3 linked regions of the Saccharomyces cerevisiae S288C genome follow. The main gene of each other region encodes a partner of the protein of the gene in region 2 in a complex. Each region holds a gene or a part of one and is shown on either strand. Other genes may lie near its edges. A codon is read from its position in the direction of its gene.

Region 1 (7,477 bases), on a different chromosome or scaffold from region 2:
ATTTCCCTGTATATATATTTCTAGGTGACAAAAATCCTAGGCAAAATGTTATATTATACGCGACCTTGAAATATCGGCTATCTTGGTGTACAACATGGTCCATTTAAGAAAAATAAAAAAAAGTGATGGGCACTGTTAAAACAGGCAGAAGCCTCATTCATAACTGCTGAAGGGTTAAGATCGTATAGGTAGGAACGATCTGACCTCTCATAATGGAAACATGGGAAGTCATAGCATCGGTAAAAGAAGCAACAAAAGGCCTTGACTTGAGCTTAGATCATCCACTTATTATTAAATCCGAGGACGTGCCCAGTAACATTCTCCAATTACTGCAACAGAAGAATCGACGTCAATTGAAACACATCTGCATGAAATCAAGAAAAGAGTATTTTCTACTAGAGGAATATGGGCCAGGATTTTGGGTTAAGTGGCCGTACAATTATTTCAATGGTTACAGCTTACCAGAAAGGCGTACGGAAGTTGTAACGACAGTTGAAAGAGAAAGAGCTAAGCGTGAAACGTTAAAAACATGGGACGAATTGAAATTTAAAGAGCTTCTTCATTTATGGTCAGAAGAACCCAAGGGCTCGTGTAAGCTTGAGAAGGACAAAGACCTTAAACTGGATATGAATCCCCCAGATATGAAAGGCGAATCAAAAATTAATGACTACTATTCAGACCCTAAAGAGTACATAGAAAGTAAGTATTATGATGCTCTTTTTTCCATACATACGCCTCTCGCATATTTCGTCAAGTCAAATTTAGTAAGGCTCAAAAATACCTGCCGAACCAAGTACGGAAGTGACAGTTACAAAATAGCCTATCAAGCCATGCTGCAAAAATTTCTTCTCTCAATTGTACAATTCAAAGATAGACATGATAACAGGCTTTTATTAGAGCCCTTTTCTAGTCCCATAGCAGATGAAAAAAGGAAGAACTGTCTCACAAAATTTGTTATCCAAGATGAAAACAAAAACAGCTCAACCATTGCTGATTTATGTGTTGTATTAAAATCCCGCGAAATAAAGCTACAAATATTATTGCTATTAGAGATAATAGGATTGAACGATTTAGATTGGAATTTTAGAGATTTTGAGAAAAAGTATAAATTAAAATTGAAGAAAAGATCACTTAATTTGACAAAAAAGGGATTAGTTCGTCGAAGATCGAAGAAAAAAACCAGCGAAAAAGACAAAGGAATCGAGAGAATAACAACATCTTTGGATTATTGTGAACAGTTAGACTTGTACTTAGATAGAGCATGCATCTTGGACATTCTACTATCAAGTGAAACGCCCAACCCAGATGCCATAGAAGCATCAAATGGAACAATACAAGAGCATAAAAAAAATATCCTAGACAAAAGCAAAGAAGCCTCATTGGTTGGGTTCATAAATTATGTTCTTATTCCATATTTCAACAAAAAGGTACCACACGCCGTTGAATTTATAATTCAAAAGCTCAAGGGACCAAGCATGAGACCAAAGAGAGCCCTGAAAAAGGTCAACGATAGCACAAATGTATCGTCACCTAATACTGTAGAAACGTATAACAGGTTATCCACGAGTCAACGTGCCTCTCGCTCTTCAATCATTAATTCCGTCCCATCTTCACCCGCATTGAGAAGGGTGGACGCTAATTTGTTCAGCAGAAAATCTATAGCTTCGCCCACCCCTGAACTTTTGAATTCTAGAACGAACTCTAACTTGAATGAATTTCTCGAAAGTGAAACTAGAAGCTTAAAGCGCCCTTCACAATTGGGAAGGACGAAGTCTGATCTAACGATGAATCATTTACAAAAACGGCAGTTTTCTGTCTCTGACTTAAGCACAACAAGAGTACCGAATTCATCAACTATCACACTCAAAACGCCTTTCTCGCACTCAACTATTAATGCATACAAAACTATGAATAACTCTTTTCGCAGAGTTGGGAAACGTAAAGATATCAATGAAACGATACGCCTACATGAACGTGTAGACTCTGAGGAAAACGTACAAGTTCAAGCCACTCCTGCTGTGAAAAAAAGAACTGTGACACCTAATAAAAAGGCGCAACTTCAAAGCATCATTGAATCGCCGCTAAATTTCAAGGATGATGATACGCATGAAGGCAGAAAAAATACCTCCAATATTACCTCTACTCCCACTAATAAGCCCCCGGAAAATAGCTCAAAAAGGAGAGTAAGAAGACGTTTATTTGCTCCAGAATCCACATAGAATAAGAAACTGCGAGACCACCTTCGCTGGCAAGTAGTTGACCCAACTCCATCTTTGTAGCTTTTCTTGGACGAAAAGGGAATAAAATAAAACTAAGCTACAACAATTTCGCACTTCGGGGGCCTTTGAGTATACAATTAAATAACTCATCATGCATATATATATATATACATACAATGGCGTATGTAAAAACTGTTATATAACATTACCGTTGTACTATTAGTATAAACCGATTCTCACTATTCGCCAAAAAATATCGCACTAATTAATTCTTTTGCGTCGTCTCTTTTCAAAATGTGAAATCCAATAGTGACACCACACCTCTCTAGCAATTTTTCCTTATCCTCATCCGTAACTTTTTCACCTTTACCCTCGTACAAATCTGGTAAATCCTTTTTTAGAACTAACAATGCACTAATTACAGTATCAACCAAGATTTGAGTTTCTTCTTTAGTAAATTTGGTCCTAGTTGGATTGGAGTCATCGTTCAAATGTTCCTCTATATTGTCTAGAGTTATTCCGCTTTCATTGAATACCAAGCGCGCCCAATTATTTAGGTTTCCTAAGAAGAATCTGATGGATTCACCTTCTAGTACCGATACACCCTTTAAGCACCCATAGTAAGTCCCAAAAACACGGTTTATGTCCAAAAATGTCTTTAGCAGTGTCCTAGTTACTCTTGGCTTCAGGGATTTGTATGCTTGAGGAAATTTTTTCAATACATAGTCCAACAAAGATGCGGCAAAATCACGTAGTGCATTCGTTCTTTCTAAAAATTCATGAATTTCTTGCGGCGAATCATCTTTTGGTGATCCACCAAGTTTTTTTGCTAATAGCAAGGTTAAAATGGAAGGCATTAACGAATGAATATAAGGGTCCAGGAAAATAGAAGTATTGCTTAGTAAAGAGTAAATCATTTCCAAAATTGTTGTTAGCAATTGTAAATCGGAAAGATTTTGTGTGATTTGTTCGGCAATAAATTGAATAAAATATGGAACCAGTTGGTGCAGGCCACTATCAGTTCGTAGTGAAGTCAAAGCTGCTTGTTTCATATGCTGTGCAGCTTCATCAGCTTGACTCTTCGCTGTCAAGGTTGAAATGACCTTATTGAAATAAATCTGTAATTCTTTGGATAAAACGTGTTTCACTAAAGGTTTGACTTCAGTATTCTGTCCTGGTTTAACATTAGACAGGTGTTGAGAGGCGCCTGTATCCGTCACAGAAGCACTTGCTGTCGTCGACGTTACAGGTGTTTGGAGGCTGTTATCATTCAAAGCAGTGACAATAGCACCTCTAATAAATGGTGGTTGGGATACCCTTATATCATTCAAATTTGGATTTTGGATTATGGCAGGTTGAACCCCTTCAACTGCTAGCCAATGTGTAGTAAAAGTTGGTAGACGAGGCACTTGCGGTAATGGCTCATTTATTAATCTATCAAAATCTACTTCTTCCTCATCCAGGTAGTAAACCGACTGTCCTCCACTTGTGTTAACCTTACTAAATGATACAGCTTTATTAACTTCAGAGCCATCATAATATCCATATAAAGGTTCCACATTCAGAACACGCAGGGCCTTCGATACATCGTCTGTAGTTAAAACATCTCTTTTAGAGTGTCTTTTAAACTTGACTGCCTGTTCAATAATCTCTAGAATACGGTATTCAACGTCCATAGCAAGTGCTTTCAACACGTCATCGTTGATATTTTCCAACCCAAGCGACTCAGCGACATCTTTAACAGTATCTTGTGGAGACCAAATTGTGTAAGATTGCTGCTGTGTAGACATTTTAACAGGCTATCAACTACACTGAGGCGTCCTTTGCTTCCTTTTTAAAGCCAATCTATTGTTTTCGCTCATGAACTACTTTTGCTGCTACTTGAATCGGTGTTTGTTATTGATGGTTTCCGGGTATTTTTTTGGTAATAAAATAAAGCTGAAAAATTTTGTAAAGCGATGCCCAATCTCGAAGCCTCACTTCAATGAACATAATACAGAGAAAATTTAACCATAAATAGGCCCAGCTTCGATCGTAAAATGAGGTTACTAGTCAGCTGTGTGGATAGTGGATCCATAAAGGAAGTTTTGTGTAACATCGGGACTGACACTTCCGTACAATCAGCACTGCAGCCTTTTCATGTGGCACCTCATCTAGCCGAAGGATTGAAAGCTTACGTTGACAGGATGTGGGTGATATCCGAAGATGAAGCCATCTTAGCAAGGAATTCAGGGGTCGTCGAACTTGTAAAGATTTCGAAACACCTTAAAGAAAATGAAGCTCTCCAGGTCGATCCCAAAGGAGAAAGCAAAAATGAAAAGAGCCTTTCCGATGATCTACCCAAATTTGACATATCCGAGTTTGAGATAACCAGCTCAGTTTCAGACCTTTTTGATGATGCCAAATTGGAATCACTTTCAAGTAAATCTGTTAAAAGAACCAAGTTGGTGGATGGTTTTGTCACATTATGTCCCATAAAAAAGGATTCGTCGAATAACACATTCGTAGCTGCTACCAAATCGGGATTATTACATATTATAAAAAAAGGAGAAGATAAAAAGTTAATAAAACTAGCATCCCTTGGACTGAAAGCACCAGTAGAATTTCTTCAGTTATATGATCTAGAAGATACCGATACTGATAAATATATATTTGCATACGGAGGGGAGGAGAATTTAATAAAATTAGTGGAAATAGATTCGAGTTTCCAATCTTTAAAGCAAATTTGGGAAGCCAAGAATGTTAAAAACGACAGGTTGGATATGAGAGTCCCAGTATGGCCCATGGCCCTAAGATTTTTGGAGCCCTCCCCTGGTAAAACTGAAAAGGGTAAGCTGAACTACCAGTTTGCAGCCATAACCCGTTGGTCCCACCTCACCAAATACAGCACACAACATGGCAGAAAACCGTTCGCTCAGATAGATTTATTACCTAACCGTGAACCATTATCTCAGATGGAAGTTTTTGATGCCAAGGGAGAAAATGTTGTCTCTTCGTTGGGGAATTTTCAATCTGAAACCTTTAATGAACTGAATGTGATTACTACTGACTACAAAAAGAATGTTTTTAAATTCGATGGTAATGGAAGAATGTTGGGCAAGGTGGGTAGAGATGATATCACTGGTTCGTCAACCTATATTCATGTACATGACGGCAAATATCTTTTACAAGGTGGTTTAGATAGGTATGTTCGGATCTTCGATATAAAAACTAACAAAATGCTGGTGAAGGTTTATGTTGGGTCCCGTATAAATTTTATTGTTATGCTGGATGACGTTGAAATCGAGATGCCACTAAGTCCAAGTGCGAAAGCTGCCAAAGGGAAGCAAAAAAGGAAGGTTACAGAACTTGAAGAAGACGCAGATGAGCTTTGGAATAAATTGGAGGGAAAGGTAGCTGCTTCTAAAGCCAGTAAGAAAAGCAAAATTTAATAGTAAAGGACGCTAATTGAAGGCAAAGTTTTACTAGTCGGCGGGAAAAATTATTAAAAAAAGCACTTCCTGAACGCGACGCTGAATAACTTATAATACGTTACATAATTGTATACCGTCTAGTAAACTTACATACGCTTGTCTATCTTGTATGCTGATGCATTTTATCAAATAGCGTTATTTCCCGCACGAGCCAATTTTTTATCGTGCCCCTTCTTACGGTTATGGTTAGCTCTAGCCCCTTTCCTTTTTTCATTCTTAGCATGCTGTCTTTTCTTCTGTTCAGTAGATTGAGGTTCATGTTTCTTAATATTTTCAGATTTTTTTTGTTTGGCTTGTTCTTTGACGACATTTCCATCATTTTGGCTATCACGATTATGAACATAAGACGTTTTCCCTGTTTTGCTATTTCCTTTGAACATAAACTTCTTTTCTAAAAGTCTTGCTCGGGTAGGAGATCTTTCTAACATCCGACACCAACCTTCGATTTTTTCATCCGACCATGAAGTCATTTCTTTCATAGTTTTCCTGACTTTTGTACCTCTTTTTGATCTCTCAAATAATTTCGGATCCTCTTTCAATAGATTCCACAAGTAAGCTTCAACAATATGATAGTTATGATCTTGTCGCACTTCATTAGAATCATCTTTTGTATCATAGCTTTCTTCGTCTTCTTGAAGTCCAATTCTTTTCGAAGGATCGGACCGGTTCACATCGGCTTCATCATAAGTGTCATCCCTTTCATCTTCATCAGCCTCGTATAAAAGTTTCAATGCTCTTGTCAAAGTTTTATTTCTTAATTCATCCGGAACACCCTCCGAGATAATCTTTTTGTCTAGCTCTTTATTTTTTGAGCTATCTCCTCTATCCAATATACTCAGTTCTTCAGTAAAGGATGCATTATCACCATCTGACACCGGCTCTACTTCTTCCTCCGCAGGTTCTCTGGAGAATGCTTCGATAATGGTAGGATCCTCAAATATTTTATTCGTTACTAATTCAATGTTATTATCATAGGCAAGCAACGTTTGAGATAATTGATATTTAGAAAACTGGGGGAACAATTCCATCAACGCGGACAGTTGTTCTTCATTAACTTCAGTACCTGATGATGTTGGATAGCTCATATGGTCTCCTTCGTCCATTGACAACCCCCCTAAATTCAGAAATAGTAACTTGCTCTTCAAATCAGGAAGCCTTTTGTGGACTCCTTCATTTATGAGCATTGTTCCTAAAAGAGGATATAACGCCAAAGTTTCAAAATTGCTTATGCCTAATTCTTTAGTTATTTTTAGTAAACGATCAGCAGAAACAGAAAATAAACTGATAATGATCAATTCTCTAGCCTCTTTATGACCCCGGCCCTGTCCCTTTGCCCATAATGCCTCTAAAATTTCAATCCAATTTGCCGTAAAGAAGTTCTCCGCAAACTTATTTGGCTGCATGGATTTGGCAGACAGCAGATCTTCAACGCACCTTAAATCTATTCTTTTAAATTTTCCAGATTCTATTAACTGCTTCAAATGCTGTTGAACTTGGTACGATTTGTCCAATTGTACACGTTGCGTGTTGATCCGTGGTTTCAATGAGCCATCGATCAAACCACGAATAGAATCTGGATTACGTCTAACATATACTTTGATCAAATTCCACAGGGAGTCACCAAAAATCTGAAGATGTAATAACCCGCATTTCTTGATCAATGAAAATATCCAGCCTTTTAGTAAATATAACTGTTCAGACACATCATGGTTGATACCGAGACTTAATAACTTTCCTTCCTCATCAGCAATTTCATGCAAGTAAGTTCTCAAAAATAAACGAAGA
Region 2 (8,260 bases):
CGCTTGGCATCTTTTTGGAATTCTTGCTTGACAGACAAAGTCTTACCTTGAGATTCATAAATTTTTTGCAACTTAGACCAGGCTGGCAATTCAGTGGCCAGTTTGAAGTTAGTGAATGAGTTATTGGACATTTTTAGGCTGGTATCTTGATTCTAAATCGATTTTGCAAGACTAGAGGAATATGTATTAAAATTCACTGAATGCAAGTAAAATATTAAGTAAAAGAAAGCATTGATTATGAAGAAAGGACCTTTTTAAGATATGAGAACAATGAGAAAAGGAAAAATGGGACGAAACAAATAGGGAAAATTCCGTCTGTAAAACCAATTGTAGTAACAAAAAACGCTCATTTCAATAGCAAAAAAATAGAATACCGTCAATGGATATATATAGACACGGGACATTATAACAACGTGCAGATGGTGATGATTGCAAACCCAAAAAATTACCAGCTTCCTGTAATTCCAGGTTGAGCGCGTGGCTTCCTATAATCCAATACACCCACACCCACCCAGATCGTGATTTTTGTTACCATCCCGGTTCTTGCCTCATTGACATATTTTTCTGACGGTGACAGAACGTGGCCTTGTACACTCTTTTTTAATGTTACGCTGGCACAACATAGTTCAACGAAAAACGAATTAAGTTCTTACTTCCGTGTTTTAATCAGAAAACGATATTCCAATGAGAGATATAAGCGTAAGGTAGCATGTCCGATGGCAAAATTCTCTTTGCTTCCGCAGCGGGGCCAAAGTCTTACTCGCCTCTAACCCCACGTAGGACAAGTGCTGAGAATAAAATAGTCTTGGCGTAGTATGCCTTCTTCAGTAATATTTTTTCTTTTGAAAGTACTACCCACATCCGAACATTGCCACTTACATAGCGATGCAAATAGCCGCCAGGAAATGCCGCATGTTATCCACTAAGAATAGTCAACATTGCATAGCATCCAAATACGTGAAAGCGGACCGATCTTGAGCGAAATGTTTAGTACCGTTGATGTGTAGAAGTAGTGCCCTGAAATACATAGCGGTGTATTATTTAGCATTAACATACAAAAAAAAAATAACGGAGGCACCAATGGAAGTGGTGTCGCTACATTAGTTTTTAACTCAGTCAGAAAACTGAATTTAGTTGATATGGGACCGCTCCAAGGTAGGAGAATACTAGATCAAGTAAAGCAACCGCACTAGTGCCTTTTTCAAACAAGGTGGTTTGATGAGGAGGCTTTCTACAATCCTAGAAATATAAGACATCTGTCAGATTAGCCGCCGTTCATATGGTTTCAAAAGGTTGCGAATGGAGACAAACGTTCCTCGTCCCAAATTAGCCAGACGGAACAGGACAATAAAGGTGATAATGTAATCCATGACTTCCTCTATTTTAGACGGGACTTTTAGCATCCTCTAAATATTTTCAACCCATACATGTCATCAGCATCGGTGAACATCTTTAATAGTATCGACAACTTGGCTCACGTACTTCTCACCGTCAAGTGCGATTTCCGGGTCATGCAATACCTCGTCTGGTTCTTGATCTTTATTCGTGGCAGAATTATGCTGATCCTTATGAGGAGGGCTCCTCAGCTTGGCATACTTTAGTCGCTGATTTCTTTCCCTCATTAATCGCAGTAGTTGAGCGTGCGACTTGCGCATTTGCGTGAGATTGCTCTCAAAATCTCGTGGGAACCCGTCGTTGACGATAGGTTCTTTCGCCATCTTCTTCACATCATCCAGTGTATCGATTTCAGACCATGATACGTCTTGCGTCTCCGTAGGTGCCAGGTTTGAGTGCATTGTTATACGGCTACCATTTACGCTTCTTTCGTATGCAGTATTACCCCTACTAATGCTGGTCGTTAAGGGGTTTAGTGCTGGAGGCGTGGTTAGGTTTTTGGTCGGAAGTGCGTTGGAACTGCCCATTATAGAGGCAGTGGAATCTGAAGATCCCTTTCTTTTATCTTTGTCGCTCTTTGCCTTTAATTGAACCAGCTGAGGGTTTCCTTCCTGGCTACTAGATTTCCTTCTGTTGGTGGAATCCGCGTCGCTTACTTTCACCTGGACTGGTGGGGTTTGCTTCACTCCCATTATTTGTCTTCGTTCGTGCCAGCAACATACATTTCATCTTATTTCTCTGGAAGGTTTTTACAACAACCAGTTACATTTTTCATTTTTCTGTTCTTCGCCTTTCTTGTTTTGGCCCCGATGACTGAGCGAAAAAAAAAAGGCTAAAGAAGACGCTATGATAACCGCCGAGCAGGTCAAGTACGATGTCGAAAAAGCATCTAATAGTTACATATCGGATTAGGTTATACTTATTACATATCACTTCCATGCTGTTATTTTTTTCAGTGTGAATTATGGCCTGAAAGCACCTCCTGCAAGGGCTAAATTGCTTCTGCTGAACTTGACCTTAAAAACAGGCGTCTTTTTGGTGTAGAACGACGCTACTAAATCGCTTGTAGGTATTACTGTTCTTCTGCGACCATATTCTTTTATATCTTGGTTTATAGATGCAGTAACGTCACCCAAGTATCCAATGAATGGCTCATCTGGTTCTGCGCTTGGCTCAGTAGTGGCCTTTTTCAAATCCCATACACGGACTGTATGATCGGCACCTCCACTAATAAGTACGTTTCCCTCTTTGCTATATGATAAGGAATAAATGGCATTCTTACCATGGCCACGCATTTGTTTCAACCTTTTGCCGGTACCAATATCCCATACATTAATAATACCATCTTCGCTACCAGTGGACAACCACCTACCATCTGGACAAACAGCAATAGAAATGACGGGCGCAGTATGTCCAAGAAATAACCTAACCGAGTCGCCTGTAGAAACGTCCCACATTCGACACGTCTTATCGCTGGATCCCGTAAACACATAGCAACCGTTCGGATGAAATGACACACAATCAACATCATTTAAATGTCCTGCAAATATTCTTAATGGATATATGTGATCGCATGACCATAACCTTGCGGTTTGGTCGTGCGATGCAGTGGCGAAATAATGGCCTAGCGGGGAGAAACTAACATCCCACACAGGGTGATTATGGCCCTTATAGCTTACTAGCGCGGTGTGAGTATCCATGGACCATAGCCTGACGGTTTTATCTTCAGAACCAGAAAGTAAATACTTATTATCCGGACTGAAACTTGTTGAATATACTGTACCACTGTGCCCCACCAAAGTTTTACACGTTGGGTCTTCATCCTTGTCGTTGTTATTTAACGCGATGTTAGGATTATTAAGTGATGAGCCGTCGAGTGACCAGATCTTGATATAACTGTCTTGAAAGCCAGCAGCCGCTATCCTACAATCATCACTGAAATCTAAACATGACATGTCTTTATTTGTGTTTTGGAATGTATACATGCACACGCTTGGTAAGGCCAACTGTAAATTATCTAGTTTGATGGCATCACGAGATTCCTTGACCTTCTGAATCTCCAACTTCAAATCTAGTGCCGTCTTTGGTGGTAAAGGTAAAATATCACGTGCTGGCGAAGATAAATTGCTGTCTTTTTTTTCACCATCCACCTTCAATTCGCTCTCTTTTTTTTCCTCATCTTTGGCGATTTTATCTTTAATTTTGTCTTTATCATCGTCGCCAGTATTATCCTTAAATTTTTCGTTATTCATAGCTTTATATTCTTGCAATAAGGTTCTATTGTTGGCTCCACTGTAATTGTCACCTGCAGTTTGTTGATTTAGTTGTTTCTCTTGATCATCCTTAATTTTCAATTCAGTTTCAATCTCCTTAACAAACTCCTCGTCTTTTGGGAAAGGTCCCAGCTTGACAGGAACAGAATTCATTTCTAAATTTTGTTTACCATTTCCGTTTTCACTATCACTGAGAACTTTTATTCCATCAGCCAATTTTTCCCTTGCGGTTACTGATTCTACAATATTTGGATCTAGGTGCTGATTTATTACACTAATTATTAATGAACCTCCAATACTCTCATTTTCATTCAAAAAATATAAGAGAAGATTTAAAGTGGTTTTAGACATAGTAATTCTGTACTTGTGAGATTGGAAAGCACTTGCGACCTCATTTTCCTTGATGTGATCTATAGAATTGACACTGAAAAGTCTATTAATTTCTGAGCCATGGAAGTCCTTAAAATCGGGAGAAAATCTATCAAAGAAACGACGGGCGTAAACAGGATTTTTGGCCACCAAATTTAAAAATAAATAAATGAATATTGGGTACATGATGTAGCTTAGTTCCGGCTTGTAAATTTCCAGCGACGAATCTACCCAGTTTTTCAACATTGAATATGCACGTATATAATTTTCAGGTGCGTTGAGCCCTTCTAGTCGCCCGCTAGATACTATACCACCTTCTGCATCTCTCTTGGATGACAAATTAGTTGGATTGCTTATGGGTTTAGCTGTCTTCCCGGGGTTCGGAGGAATTGATGATTGTTCAGGAAATTTACCTGTTTTAGTATTTGCTGGTGATTGTTTGTTTTGAGGTGTTAGTGTACGTCCACTCTCGGCTCTCAGCATGGCCTCTGTACGGTGGTATCCCTTTTTATTCAGGTACTCTAGGACAATTCTATTCAAGTCTGACGCCGAAAACGGACCATTGGACCTCCCCTGCTGTTGAGACTGGCCTTGACTCTGTTGCTGTGGCTGCTGGCCGGAATTGGCGCCAGCAGCATTATTAGTTCGTTGATTCTTTACTGGTTGTGGCTGATGCGTGCCATTTTGATTCTGATTCGTACTTTGCTTCTGTGACATTCTTATTTTTCAAGTATCTCAACTTGAACCCGGAGTTTCTCGTATCTTTTCTCCTTCTCTTTTCCTACCCTTATGCCTGCTTTATTGCTCTTTCTGCCACTTTGTAGACTTCATTTGAAATCTTGAAACTTTTTTGCTTTTGAACAATTCATCTGAACCCGTAAAAGATGATATTTACAGCTACTTTTACCCGGCTAAGGGGAGAATTCCATTCAACGGAACGAGCTCTATAAGACGTTCTCTAACTGCATGTAGTGAAATATTTTGAACCATTTGATATGCAGATACTTTCACGGTGTTGCACGGCTGTATAATATACAATAGGCCGTTACAGCAGAACACAATTTTTAGTTTAGACCCAACAAGGTGAACCATACGAACTGATATGAGGTTTCTTTCAAAAAGGATACTGAAACCTGTACTTTCAGTGATCATTCTAATATCGATTGCCGTAACCGTTGTTCTTTACTTTTTAACGGCGAATGAGAACTATTTGCAAGCAGTCAAGGATAGTGCCAAGTCCCAGTATGCTTCTCTCCGGGAGAGCTACAAAAGTATTACAGGTAAAACTGAAAGCGCTGATGAACTTCCTGATCATGATGCTGAGGTGTTAGATAGCATAATGGACAGGCTACACGAGCCCCTTTATGAAAAGGACACTTTTGACCCGAATGAAGTCCTTGCTGAAAATAAACAGTTGTACGAGGAGTTTTTACTTCAAGAAATTTCTGAGCCAAAGGTGGACAATTTGGTACGTAGCGGGGATCCGTTAGCCGGCAAGGCAAAAGGAACTATTTTGAGTTTGGTGAGAAATTCTGATTTAGAGGATATAATTTCTTCTATTCAACAGCTAGAAGAGGAGTACAATAAGAATTTTGGATATCCCTATACCTTCCTTAACGATGAGGAATTTACTGACGAATTCAAAGATGGAATAAAAAGTATTCTTCCTAAGGACCGTGTAGTAGAATTTGGCACTATTGGTCCAGATAACTGGAATATGCCTGATAGCATAGATAGGGAGAGATACGACCAAGAAATGGACAAAATGAGTAAAGAGAACATTCAGTATGCAGAGGTGGAATCCTATCATAACATGTGTCGTTTCTATTCTAAAGAATTTTACCATCATCCTCTGCTATCTAAATATAAATATGTGTGGAGATTAGAGCCAAACGTGAATTTCTATTGCAAAATTAACTATGACGTTTTCCAATTTATGAACAAGAATGACAAGATTTATGGGTTTGTTTTGAACCTCTATGATAGTCCGCAAACCATCGAAACGCTATGGACTTCAACTATGGATTTTGTCGAGGAACACCCAAACTATTTGAACGTCAACGGAGCCTTCGCATGGCTAAAAGATAACTCTCAAAATCCAAAAAATTATGATTATACTCAAGGGTATTCAACTTGTCATTTCTGGACCAATTTTGAAATAGTCGATTTAGACTTTTTGAGGTCAGAACCTTATGAAAAATATATGCAATATCTTGAAGAAAAGGGAGGATTCTACTATGAAAGGTGGGGTGATGCCCCTGTAAGAAGTTTGGCACTTGCTTTATTTGCGGATAAGTCAAGCATCCATTGGTTCAGGGATATAGGTTATCACCATACTCCGTACACGAACTGTCCAACTTGTCCAGCAGATTCAGATAGGTGTAATGGAAATTGTGTACCAGGCAAATTCACTCCTTGGAGTGATCTAGACAACCAAAATTGCCAGGCAACCTGGATAAGACACTCTATGTCTGAGGAAGAGTTAGAAATGTATTGAAGACATTAGCTTTGAGAATTTGTGCCGCTGCTTTCGAGAACGGCATCACATCTGGGGTTTTATGATTTAATTTAGGACGCACATAGATAGATATATATTATGGAATTAAGAAAAGTTTATAATGTAGCAACCTAAAAATGTTACAGGTGAACATTCATGGAAAATGAAATGTTTCTCAGCCAGTAGATAGTATTGTTGAAGGTATTATTGGTTTGAGAAAGCTACTCCTCAAAAATGTCACTTGATAATATGGAATTATAATGTCGTTATATTTTCAATCATTTCAATACAATATGGTAAACCGAAATCCAAAAACTTTACAATATCTCTTATCTATTGTTATTCGACATTCTTCCCGGGCCTTAACGGCTTCTTAACTAATATTACCCTAAACGGACAAATGGCGAAGGGCCCCATTCATTTACGAACAGGAAAAAAAGAAAGTGACAATACAGCCATAATTTGATGTACCATCTTAATCAGCATATGTTTTCACTAATATACTAAACCCATATGGATGCACGTTGAAAGCACTGTGTGAAAAGAAATTGTCAAGAAAGCCATATAAATGCTGAAAAACTTCAAACTCTCAAAAAGAGATAGTAATGGGTCGAAGGGCAGAATTACATCCGCAGATATTTCCACACCTTCTCATGATAATGGGAGTGTTATAAAGCATATTAAGACAGTACCAGTGAGGTACCTTTCTTCATCTTCCACCCCAGTGAAAAGCCAACGGGACTCTTCACCAAAAAACAGACATAATTCTAAAGATATTACTTCTCCAGAGAAAGTTATAAAAGCCAAATACAGTTATCAGGCACAAACTTCAAAGGAACTATCTTTCATGGAAGGTGAATTTTTTTATGTATCTGGAGATGAGAAGGATTGGTATAAAGCTTCAAATCCTTCTACTGGAAAAGAGGGTGTTGTCCCCAAAACCTATTTTGAAGTGTTTGATAGAACTAAACCTTCCTCTGTGAATGGATCCAATAGTTCAAGTCGGAAGGTTACAAATGATTCATTAAACATGGGATCGTTATACGCCATTGTTTTATATGACTTTAAGGCAGAAAAAGCTGATGAGTTGACAACTTATGTGGGAGAGAATTTGTTTATTTGCGCCCACCATAACTGTGAATGGTTCATTGCTAAGCCAATTGGTCGACTTGGAGGGCCCGGCCTTGTTCCTGTTGGGTTTGTTAGCATCATAGATATTGCCACGGGGTACGCAACAGGTAACGACGTAATAGAAGACATCAAGTCAGTTAACCTACCAACTGTTCAAGAATGGAAAAGCAACATTGCAAGATACAAAGCTAGTAATATTAGCCTTGGTTCTGTGGAGCAGCAGCAGCAGCAATCCATTACAAAACCTCAGAACAAAAGCGCAAAGCTGGTTGACGGTGAATTATTAGTGAAAGCATCCGTTGAATCCTTTGGGTTAGAAGATGAGAAGTATTGGTTTTTGGTTTGCTGTGAATTATCTAACGGTAAGACGAGGCAACTGAAAAGATACTATCAAGATTTCTACGATCTGCAGGTTCAACTTTTGGATGCGTTCCCAGCAGAGGCCGGTAAGTTGAGGGATGCAGGTGGACAATGGTCCAAACGTATAATGCCCTATATCCCTGGACCCGTTCCATACGTTACCAATAGCATAACAAAAAAAAGAAAGGAGGACTTGAATATATATGTGGCAGACCTAGTGAATCTTCCCGATTAT
Region 3 (6,741 bases), on a different chromosome or scaffold from region 2:
AGTTAATTTGTGATATTTACTGTTTTGAGCATCAAAATACAATTGCTCTGATTGCCAATCGGTGTAAGTTTTCAAATCTTCGTATAGTAACATGAAGAGATTATCCAACCATCTTTCGCATAGCCTCTTTGATCTCATTTTGGATATATCATTACCGCGAACTTCTGCTTCATCAATGGAAGAAGTGGAGCCTTGGTACTCGTCTTCCATAACGAAAATTTTTGATCTATATTTCAACAGCTGCTCCCATCCTGTTATTTGGACAATTTCTGTCAATAATTTATAGGCTAGTTGGAAAGTAGACTTTAAACTTGACGCAGAGAGATTGACTAGGTTTGGATCTGCGGACTTTTGCTCCAACTGGACATCCATGGGGTTCAATGACGAAATCTCCTCAATTGAGGCATCCAATGGTAATGGCAGATGAAGATTTTCATCTGAAGTAATAGGCGCAATTCTTCTAAGAACGTATTTTTCCTTAACCTGTGACATGGGGCAGGCGTTTAACGATAGCAAGGCATTTGACATATCGTTTAGTTTAATGTATATTCTAGTCAATAAATACCAAGTTTTAAATTCGTTTGGTGCACAGTTAACAGCCTCCATGGCTACTTCCTTAGCAAGCTTGTAATCTCTCTTGACATCCAGTAAGAATTCACTTTGAATACTTAATAATTCGGATTTGAAGATTAGCTGGATATGGCTAGTCTTTGAATCGTCGGCTAAGAACGAAGAGGGGGAATTTAGTTGCTCGTTGATCAGGTCAACTGCATCTATCTCTAAATCGCACGCAAAATAAACACGAATTAATATTATTACTGCTTCTGGATGAATTTCTATTAACTTCTTGAGCATTTTACGACATGCTTCCAAACTCTTAGTTAACCTAACTATTTCCACTAAAGTTTCCACTAAATAATTATTGGTTAACGAGGGATTTAAAACGTGAGTAGGTGCATCTAAATAAACACCTTTTTCATAGACCAAGGGGAACAGTTTAATAAAGTTATTGGCAACATCTTCCAACTCACCCGAGGTAAATGGATTGAAAATTAGTGTTTCTACCAAATTCTGGGATTCTCCATCCGCACGATTATCTTTCATAATCATAATGTCACGTACAATACCACTCATAAACGTTTCCGCCCAAATCATGTTGACGTTTAAATCCTGTGAGTTGCGGCCAGATGACGCTTCTGCCACGGAGGGAAGTTGCGATTGTTCACCGTCGCTATTTATAATGTAGGTTTGCACAGTTCCTGGAATGTGAACTATAATGTTAACATCATATTTCCTAAACGCATTCCAAGAACTGATAGAAATCTTCGATACGTGAAAGTGCTTCTTCTTACCAAACCAAATTTGGGGCGTGTCTAAGAAAAGATCGGTTATCTTTTTGGCAAAGATTGTAATAGAAGTTGGATCCGAAGTATCGATACCCATACAGTAAAAGAAAGTGCCGATCTGCCCCTTTAATTTGTCATGGGAATGTAACTCCGTAACTATGGTCGTAGGATCTTGTCCATTGATGTTTGAAGTTGCTCCGTTATCGTTGGCGGAGGCAGTAGCAGTTGTTGTGCTCGAGGATGAAGGTAACGATTTGATCAAAGTAATTAAATCAGGCGGACCCAAGTCTTGGAATTGTCCCACTCTGGCTCTCCTCTGGTGTAGCGCATAGCCTATCACGTCTTCTTTCACTTCCGGTATGGAGGTTTGAGACAACATGGTTAGGACTTCAAGTTTTCAGTTTATCCTTTTCACGTTCTAAAAATCAATACAGCGCGGAAAGTGCTCTCAAGAAGATGAATTGAGATGTTTAAGGGTCCATTTGTTACTACATTATCGTGTAGATCTCATTTCTCTAACTTTCCATGTAGGAAAGGGCAGGCAGGAAAAAGAACATTAGAGAACATGATCACGATACACGACTAGCGCATTATTTAGTGTATATTACTCTATTATGCATTCTACATGACGCATCTTCCGGAAGAACTTGATTTAGTGTACTTATGATATATAAGCGGTGCATTCACATAGACTTTGGGTCCTCAAGGTCCCACTCCTTCGCTGTGAGACAATATTTTTCTGGGGGAAGCCTGACACCCCACGTACCCATCACTTGAGGTAATGCCTTCTTGTTTCTTTCCGCAGCTAACTGTAACATGAGCTCCTTAGGTGCCGTAGGCTTAAATTGGTATTGTGTTCTCGCTGCAATGGCAAGCCGTATGTCTTCTACTCCTAATCCACTGCCGGCAGAATTTCCACTGCCAGCGTAGTCGTTGTAAACCAACGCGTCCTTAAGGACTCCTTGTGTGTACCTATGTGCAAAATCCATCAATTGTAGCGGTACTTGGTCCTCATATTGATGAATCGACTGTGATGCGAGGAGCAGATGCAAAAGACGGACATCTCGTGGCGTTTCCTCTTGTGTTGAGTCCGGACCAACTTCTGATACTGAGCCCACTGAGTTTTTATTCAAAACATTCTTGCCTCCGCCGTTCATAATGGTCTGTGAAGTCCTCTAGTCTTTTCTTGTTGTCGTGTTGTTTCATAATGTCAAATTCTACTTTTGATTTAAAGCTCTTAGTTTGGTCATGGAATGCATGTCACTATGCACGTTGTGGGACAATTAATGGAAAAAAATTTATTAGGAAGATATTGATCAAAGGCATAATATCACGGTAAAAGGTGAATATAGGCCATTTTAACAGGCTGTCTTTCGAAACAGATTTTTAGCTATGGCTACCTTGCACTTCGTTCCTCAGCACGAGGAAGAACAAGTTTACTCCATCTCTGGGAAGGCACTCAAGTTAACAACCAGTGACGATATCAAACCATACCTGGAAGAATTGGCAGCTTTGAAAACCTGTACCAAATTAGACCTTTCAGGGAATACAATCGGTACTGAAGCTTCGGAAGCATTAGCTAAATGCATCGCTGAAAATACACAGGTCAGGGAATCTTTGGTTGAAGTAAATTTTGCTGACTTATACACTTCGAGGTTGGTTGACGAAGTCGTTGATTCGTTGAAGTTTTTATTGCCTGTTCTGTTGAAATGTCCTCACTTGGAGATTGTGAACCTTTCTGATAATGCGTTTGGGCTAAGAACAATCGAGTTACTAGAAGATTACATTGCACATGCCGTGAATATCAAACATTTGATCTTAAGTAACAATGGTATGGGCCCTTTTGCTGGTGAAAGGATTGGTAAGGCCCTATTTCATCTCGCTCAAAATAAGAAAGCTGCTTCCAAACCATTTTTGGAAACTTTTATCTGTGGTAGAAATAGATTAGAGAATGGATCCGCAGTCTACTTAGCTCTGGGTTTGAAAAGCCACTCCGAAGGTTTGAAAGTCGTAAAGCTGTACCAAAATGGTATTAGGCCTAAAGGTGTCGCCACGCTAATTCATTACGGTTTACAGTACTTGAAAAACTTGGAAATCTTGGATCTTCAAGACAATACTTTCACGAAACATGCTTCTTTGATCCTTGCTAAGGCCTTGCCTACATGGAAGGATAGTTTATTTGAATTGAATTTGAACGACTGTCTTTTGAAAACTGCTGGTTCAGATGAAGTCTTTAAAGTATTCACCGAAGTTAAATTCCCCAATTTGCATGTCTTGAAATTCGAATATAATGAAATGGCTCAAGAAACCATTGAAGTATCCTTCTTACCGGCTATGGAAAAGGGAAATTTACCTGAATTGGAAAAGCTAGAAATAAATGGTAACAGATTAGATGAAGATTCTGATGCTTTAGATTTGCTCCAAAGCAAATTTGATGATTTAGAGGTTGACGATTTTGAAGAGGTCGATAGTGAAGATGAGGAAGGCGAGGACGAGGAAGACGAGGACGAGGATGAAAAACTCGAAGAAATTGAAACGGAAAGGCTTGAAAAGGAACTGCTAGAAGTACAAGTAGATGATCTTGCTGAACGTTTAGCTGAAACTGAAATCAAATAGCTATGAATAAAAGTAAAAATAAACACAATCAACTGTGGACGAGGTTCAGGCAAATATCATGGTGACACGCTTATAGATAGTTATCGGGTAAGTTAAAAAACCAAATAGCTGATGTATGTATATGTATGCAAAAGATATAAAATATATATTTCTATTACAGGTACAACAGGTCCAGTAAGAAGCCAAGCAAAAAACAGCATTATCGTCTAGATGCTCCTTTCTTCGCCAGAAAATCTGCCATTTCATTTCCTGGATCACCATCGTGTCCTTTTACCCATTCAATCTGAAATTTACCATTATTTTTGAAGCACTCTTTATTCAACTCATAGTACTTTTTAACTTTAACGAACCTCTGCACCAAAGGAACAATTAAATCAGAATTAGGTAGCCCTTCAAGTTTTTTATTATCATACGTCATATACCTGTCATTTAATAATTTGGTTACGTACTCTGAATCAGTTTTGATTTGATAATTTACTTTTTCCTTTTCATTAGTTAACTTTTCCCAGATTTTCTTCAAAGCTTCTGATACTGCTTCGATTTCAGCTCTATTATTAGTTTGAGCTCCCGATAATAAGGGTTCTGAAATATTTTCCTCTGGCGCTCCTTCAAAATATGCACCATAACCTGCCCTTGAAGATGACGTGCCGTTTCCAAAACTTGAACCATCACAGTAAACGTTCATAGACTTGTTGTACATGGTATTGCTAGAAAGCTTATACTTAGATTCAAAACTTTCTTTGGATATATTCATGAGCTTGTAATCATGCGCACTCATACCACTAATGAAGTTTTCCGCAGCTAATTGGTCTTCAAACTTCTTGAAGGTTATACCCCTTTTATGCTTGACATAGGCTTGACAGTCTTTCCAATTGTTAAAGATTTTACTCTCGATATTTGGAACATTACTCTTTACTGAATAAAAGGTATTTGTATTAGCAGAGCTTAAAGATGAACATGCTGATGACGATGTCAAGGAGGAATAATGAAGTGGCCGATTCCTTCGATGAACTCGCTTTTGAGTGGTATGAGGTTTACTAACTTGCCCTCCAGCATGCGTTGAACTTCCATAGTTTGATGTAGTATTTGGTTGACCTAGGAAAGATTTCGCTTGCTCGTAGCTGTTAAATTTTTTATAAATTGCACCACCATAACCATCAACTTGGTTTTTACATTCATTCCATGTATTATAGATCCCAGTTTCCCTGCCCTTTCTAACCGCGTAGAAGTTCCCTTGCCTTGCCATAATTAGGAATCGATAGTTCCTTCGATAAGCAAGGAGTGACACTTTAACTAATTTAAACAACGTGTATTATTGTGCTGCCATGAAATTAATATAGATCTTTACGACTATTGTACTTGCTTTTATTCATTGTTGATGCTGCTGTCATTTTTACATTTTTTTCTCCAGATAAAAAATAAAAAAAATATGCCATTAATTGATATCATCAGAATTTGACGAAATTCTCAAATCGAATTTGCCATAGTATTTCTTTAACGCCGTGAAGTGAAATTATTTATTACTAATGCTACATTAATTGTTAATTTACCTGTTTCAAGTACAATACAGTAGGTGCAGTGTGCTTTATACATGTCATCAAAGAGGAAAAAAAATCATTAAATTTGTATAAGTGCTACAGCCAAGATCAACCGCTTAAATTGGGAAGAGATTCGTTTTCCAATTTGATTTCTTTTTCGGGTGTTTGCTTTTGTTCCTCTTCATGTTTCACAATTTCATCGGGATTAAACAAGTGCTTAGTTAAGAGTTTATTCATTGAAAACATCGTCATTTTTTTGCCAAAAATTGGTTCCATCTTCTCATCGCATAGAATTTCTCTACGATCTTTTGGGTTTTGAAGATCATGCTCTTTGATATACTGCCATATCATCTTCACTACTTGCGTTCGTGGCAGTTCTTCAGATCCTAGAAACTTTTGTAAAGGAGCTGACAACAGAACTTTGCGGACGGAAATGCTGTTGGAATCAGGACTATCATTCTTTTTCTTCTTCCTTTTAGATTTACTTTCACTTTTACCTTTCCTTTTCCTCGTAGACCTCAAGGGTCTTTCTTCTTCCTTCTGTAACCTCAAAGATAGTTCTTGATCCCGACTAATGAGGTCGTTCTTCGGAATTAAGACTCTTGGGTTTTCTTGTATATCGCCGAACCTCTCAAGAATCAATTCATTAATTAACTTTCTTTGTGAATCCAAATTAACTGAATAGAGAATTTGCAGGGCTTTCCTCACCCTTTTTGGGCTTATTTCATCGGGGTTGGATACGCTCAAAATAGCGTCAACCATCGGAATATATTTATTGATGTCGGCCATAATGCTTTCACCCTCTATTTGCCTTCTATTTGCTCATTTCCTCTTAAACTTTTTCTTAAGGCTTTTCATGAATTAATTAAAATTTTCTTTCTCCTTCGCGCCAGCAAACAAATTATAGGTGACTGACTATAGTTCAACATATATACTGCTCCAGCGCAGTAGTACTACTTTAATAAAAAAGAAAACAAAACATTCTAAAAACTATAAGCTAAATATACTCTTTTGTTAAAGTTCGAAAAGTTTTCTGACAACACGGCTTCCACTAGGGTCTCCAGGGAAAGGCCAATCTTTTCTTACCATGCGTTTTGTCATATATCGTGATTTAGAATAACACTGCAAAATATCAAGATTTTTAATTTGGCCGGTAGCTATAGAGTCATTAAGAGACATATTTTCAAGATCTTTTTGCAGGTATTTTTTTCCACCAGCAATGATTTCCAAATATTTTAAGA

What was found.
Region 1: the proteins of TAF5 (region 2) and TAF6 are in contact, whole or in part, in a cryo-EM structure (PDB 6T9I), measured with the Saccharomyces cerevisiae proteins. Residues at the interface, in NP_009757.1 of Saccharomyces cerevisiae: Trp162 (codon at 4,271), Ser166 (codon at 4,259), Leu167 (codon at 4,256), Glu168 (codon at 4,253), Ile169 (codon at 4,250), Tyr170 (codon at 4,247), Lys248 (codon at 4,013), Thr249 (codon at 4,010), Asn252 (codon at 4,001), Leu253 (codon at 3,998), Tyr256 (codon at 3,989), Glu260 (codon at 3,977), Glu434 (codon at 3,455), Ser441 (codon at 3,434), Arg442 (codon at 3,431), Ile445 (codon at 3,422), Lys446 (codon at 3,419), Leu447 (codon at 3,416), Asn449 (codon at 3,410), Leu450 (codon at 3,407), Gln451 (codon at 3,404), Leu452 (codon at 3,401), Ala453 (codon at 3,398), Leu454 (codon at 3,395), Pro455 (codon at 3,392), Ser456 (codon at 3,389), Val457 (codon at 3,386), Cys458 (codon at 3,383), Met459 (codon at 3,380), Tyr460 (codon at 3,377); in NP_011403.1 of Saccharomyces cerevisiae: Gln51 (codon at 3,859), Lys54 (codon at 3,850), Phe55 (codon at 3,847), Arg57 (codon at 3,841), His58 (codon at 3,838), Ser59 (codon at 3,835), Lys60 (codon at 3,832), Arg61 (codon at 3,829), Asp62 (codon at 3,826), Lys71 (codon at 3,799), Val75 (codon at 3,787), Asn91 (codon at 3,739), Pro129 (codon at 3,625), Arg130 (codon at 3,622), Leu131 (codon at 3,619), Pro132 (codon at 3,616), Thr133 (codon at 3,613), Phe134 (codon at 3,610), Thr135 (codon at 3,607), Thr136 (codon at 3,604), His137 (codon at 3,601), Trp138 (codon at 3,598), Leu139 (codon at 3,595), Ala140 (codon at 3,592), Val141 (codon at 3,589), Glu142 (codon at 3,586), Gly143 (codon at 3,583), Val144 (codon at 3,580), Gln145 (codon at 3,577), Ile149 (codon at 3,565).
Region 3: the proteins of TAF5 (region 2) and TAF9 are in contact, whole or in part, in a cryo-EM structure (PDB 6T9I), measured with the Saccharomyces cerevisiae proteins. Residues at the interface, in NP_009757.1 of Saccharomyces cerevisiae: Phe104 (codon at 4,445), Pro105 (codon at 4,442), Gln107 (codon at 4,436), Ser109 (codon at 4,430), Ile110 (codon at 4,427), Pro111 (codon at 4,424), Pro112 (codon at 4,421), Arg154 (codon at 4,295), Tyr539 (codon at 3,140), Arg550 (codon at 3,107), Leu551 (codon at 3,104), Ala559 (codon at 3,080), Leu560 (codon at 3,077), Val561 (codon at 3,074), Ser562 (codon at 3,071), Tyr563 (codon at 3,068), His568 (codon at 3,053), Phe575 (codon at 3,032), Leu578 (codon at 3,023), Gly579 (codon at 3,020), His580 (codon at 3,017), His587 (codon at 2,996), Gln589 (codon at 2,990), Thr590 (codon at 2,987), Leu593 (codon at 2,978), Cys596 (codon at 2,969), Asp597 (codon at 2,966), His598 (codon at 2,963), Ile599 (codon at 2,960), Pro601 (codon at 2,954); in NP_013963.1 of Saccharomyces cerevisiae: Lys106 (codon at 2,188), Pro110 (codon at 2,176), Lys111 (codon at 2,173), Met114 (codon at 2,164), Leu115 (codon at 2,161), Leu117 (codon at 2,155), Ala118 (codon at 2,152), Arg121 (codon at 2,143), Asn122 (codon at 2,140), Lys124 (codon at 2,134), Ala125 (codon at 2,131), Leu126 (codon at 2,128), Pro127 (codon at 2,125), Gln128 (codon at 2,122), Val129 (codon at 2,119), Met130 (codon at 2,116), Gly131 (codon at 2,113), Trp133 (codon at 2,107), Gly134 (codon at 2,104), Val135 (codon at 2,101), Arg136 (codon at 2,098), Leu137 (codon at 2,095), Pro138 (codon at 2,092), Pro139 (codon at 2,089), Tyr142 (codon at 2,080), Cys143 (codon at 2,077), Leu144 (codon at 2,074), Thr145 (codon at 2,071).

What each region holds. Positions count from the first base shown.
Region 1 is NC_001139.9:295,720-303,196, forward strand, and holds TAF6 (TATA-binding protein-associated factor TAF6), read right to left. Parts: upstream 4,010-7,477; coding exon 2,459-4,009; downstream 1-2,458. Other genes in the region: SLD3 (Sld3p), read left to right, coding at 213-2,219; ribosome biosynthesis protein NSA1, read left to right, coding at 4,259-5,650; CUE3 (Cue3p), read right to left, coding at 5,818-7,477.
Region 2 is NC_001134.8:613,770-622,029, forward strand, and holds TAF5 (chromatin modification protein), read right to left. Parts: upstream 4,755-8,260; coding exon 2,358-4,754; downstream 1-2,357. Other genes in the region: PGI1 (glucose-6-phosphate isomerase), read right to left, coding at 1-131; YBR196C-A (uncharacterized protein), read right to left, coding at 255-404; YBR196C-B (uncharacterized protein), read right to left, coding at 757-861; YBR197C (uncharacterized protein), read right to left, coding at 1,434-2,087; KTR4 (putative mannosyltransferase), read left to right, coding at 5,140-6,534; phosphatidylinositol-3-phosphate-binding protein BEM1, read left to right, coding at 7,103-8,260. UniProt on the Saccharomyces cerevisiae protein: Functions as a component of both the DNA-binding general transcription initiation factor complex TFIID and the transcription coactivator SAGA complex.
Region 3 is NC_001145.3:738,733-745,473, reverse strand, and holds TAF9 (chromatin modification protein), read right to left. Parts: upstream 2,504-6,741; coding exon 2,030-2,503; downstream 1-2,029. Other genes in the region: BCH1 (exomer complex subunit), read right to left, coding at 1-1,725; GTPase-activating protein RNA1, read left to right, coding at 2,739-3,962; RNH1 (RNA-DNA hybrid ribonuclease), read right to left, coding at 4,162-5,208; TRI1 (Tri1p), read right to left, coding at 5,609-6,289; FUS2 (Fus2p), read right to left, coding at 6,515-6,741. UniProt on the Saccharomyces cerevisiae protein: Functions as a component of both the DNA-binding general transcription initiation factor complex TFIID and the transcription coactivator SAGA complex.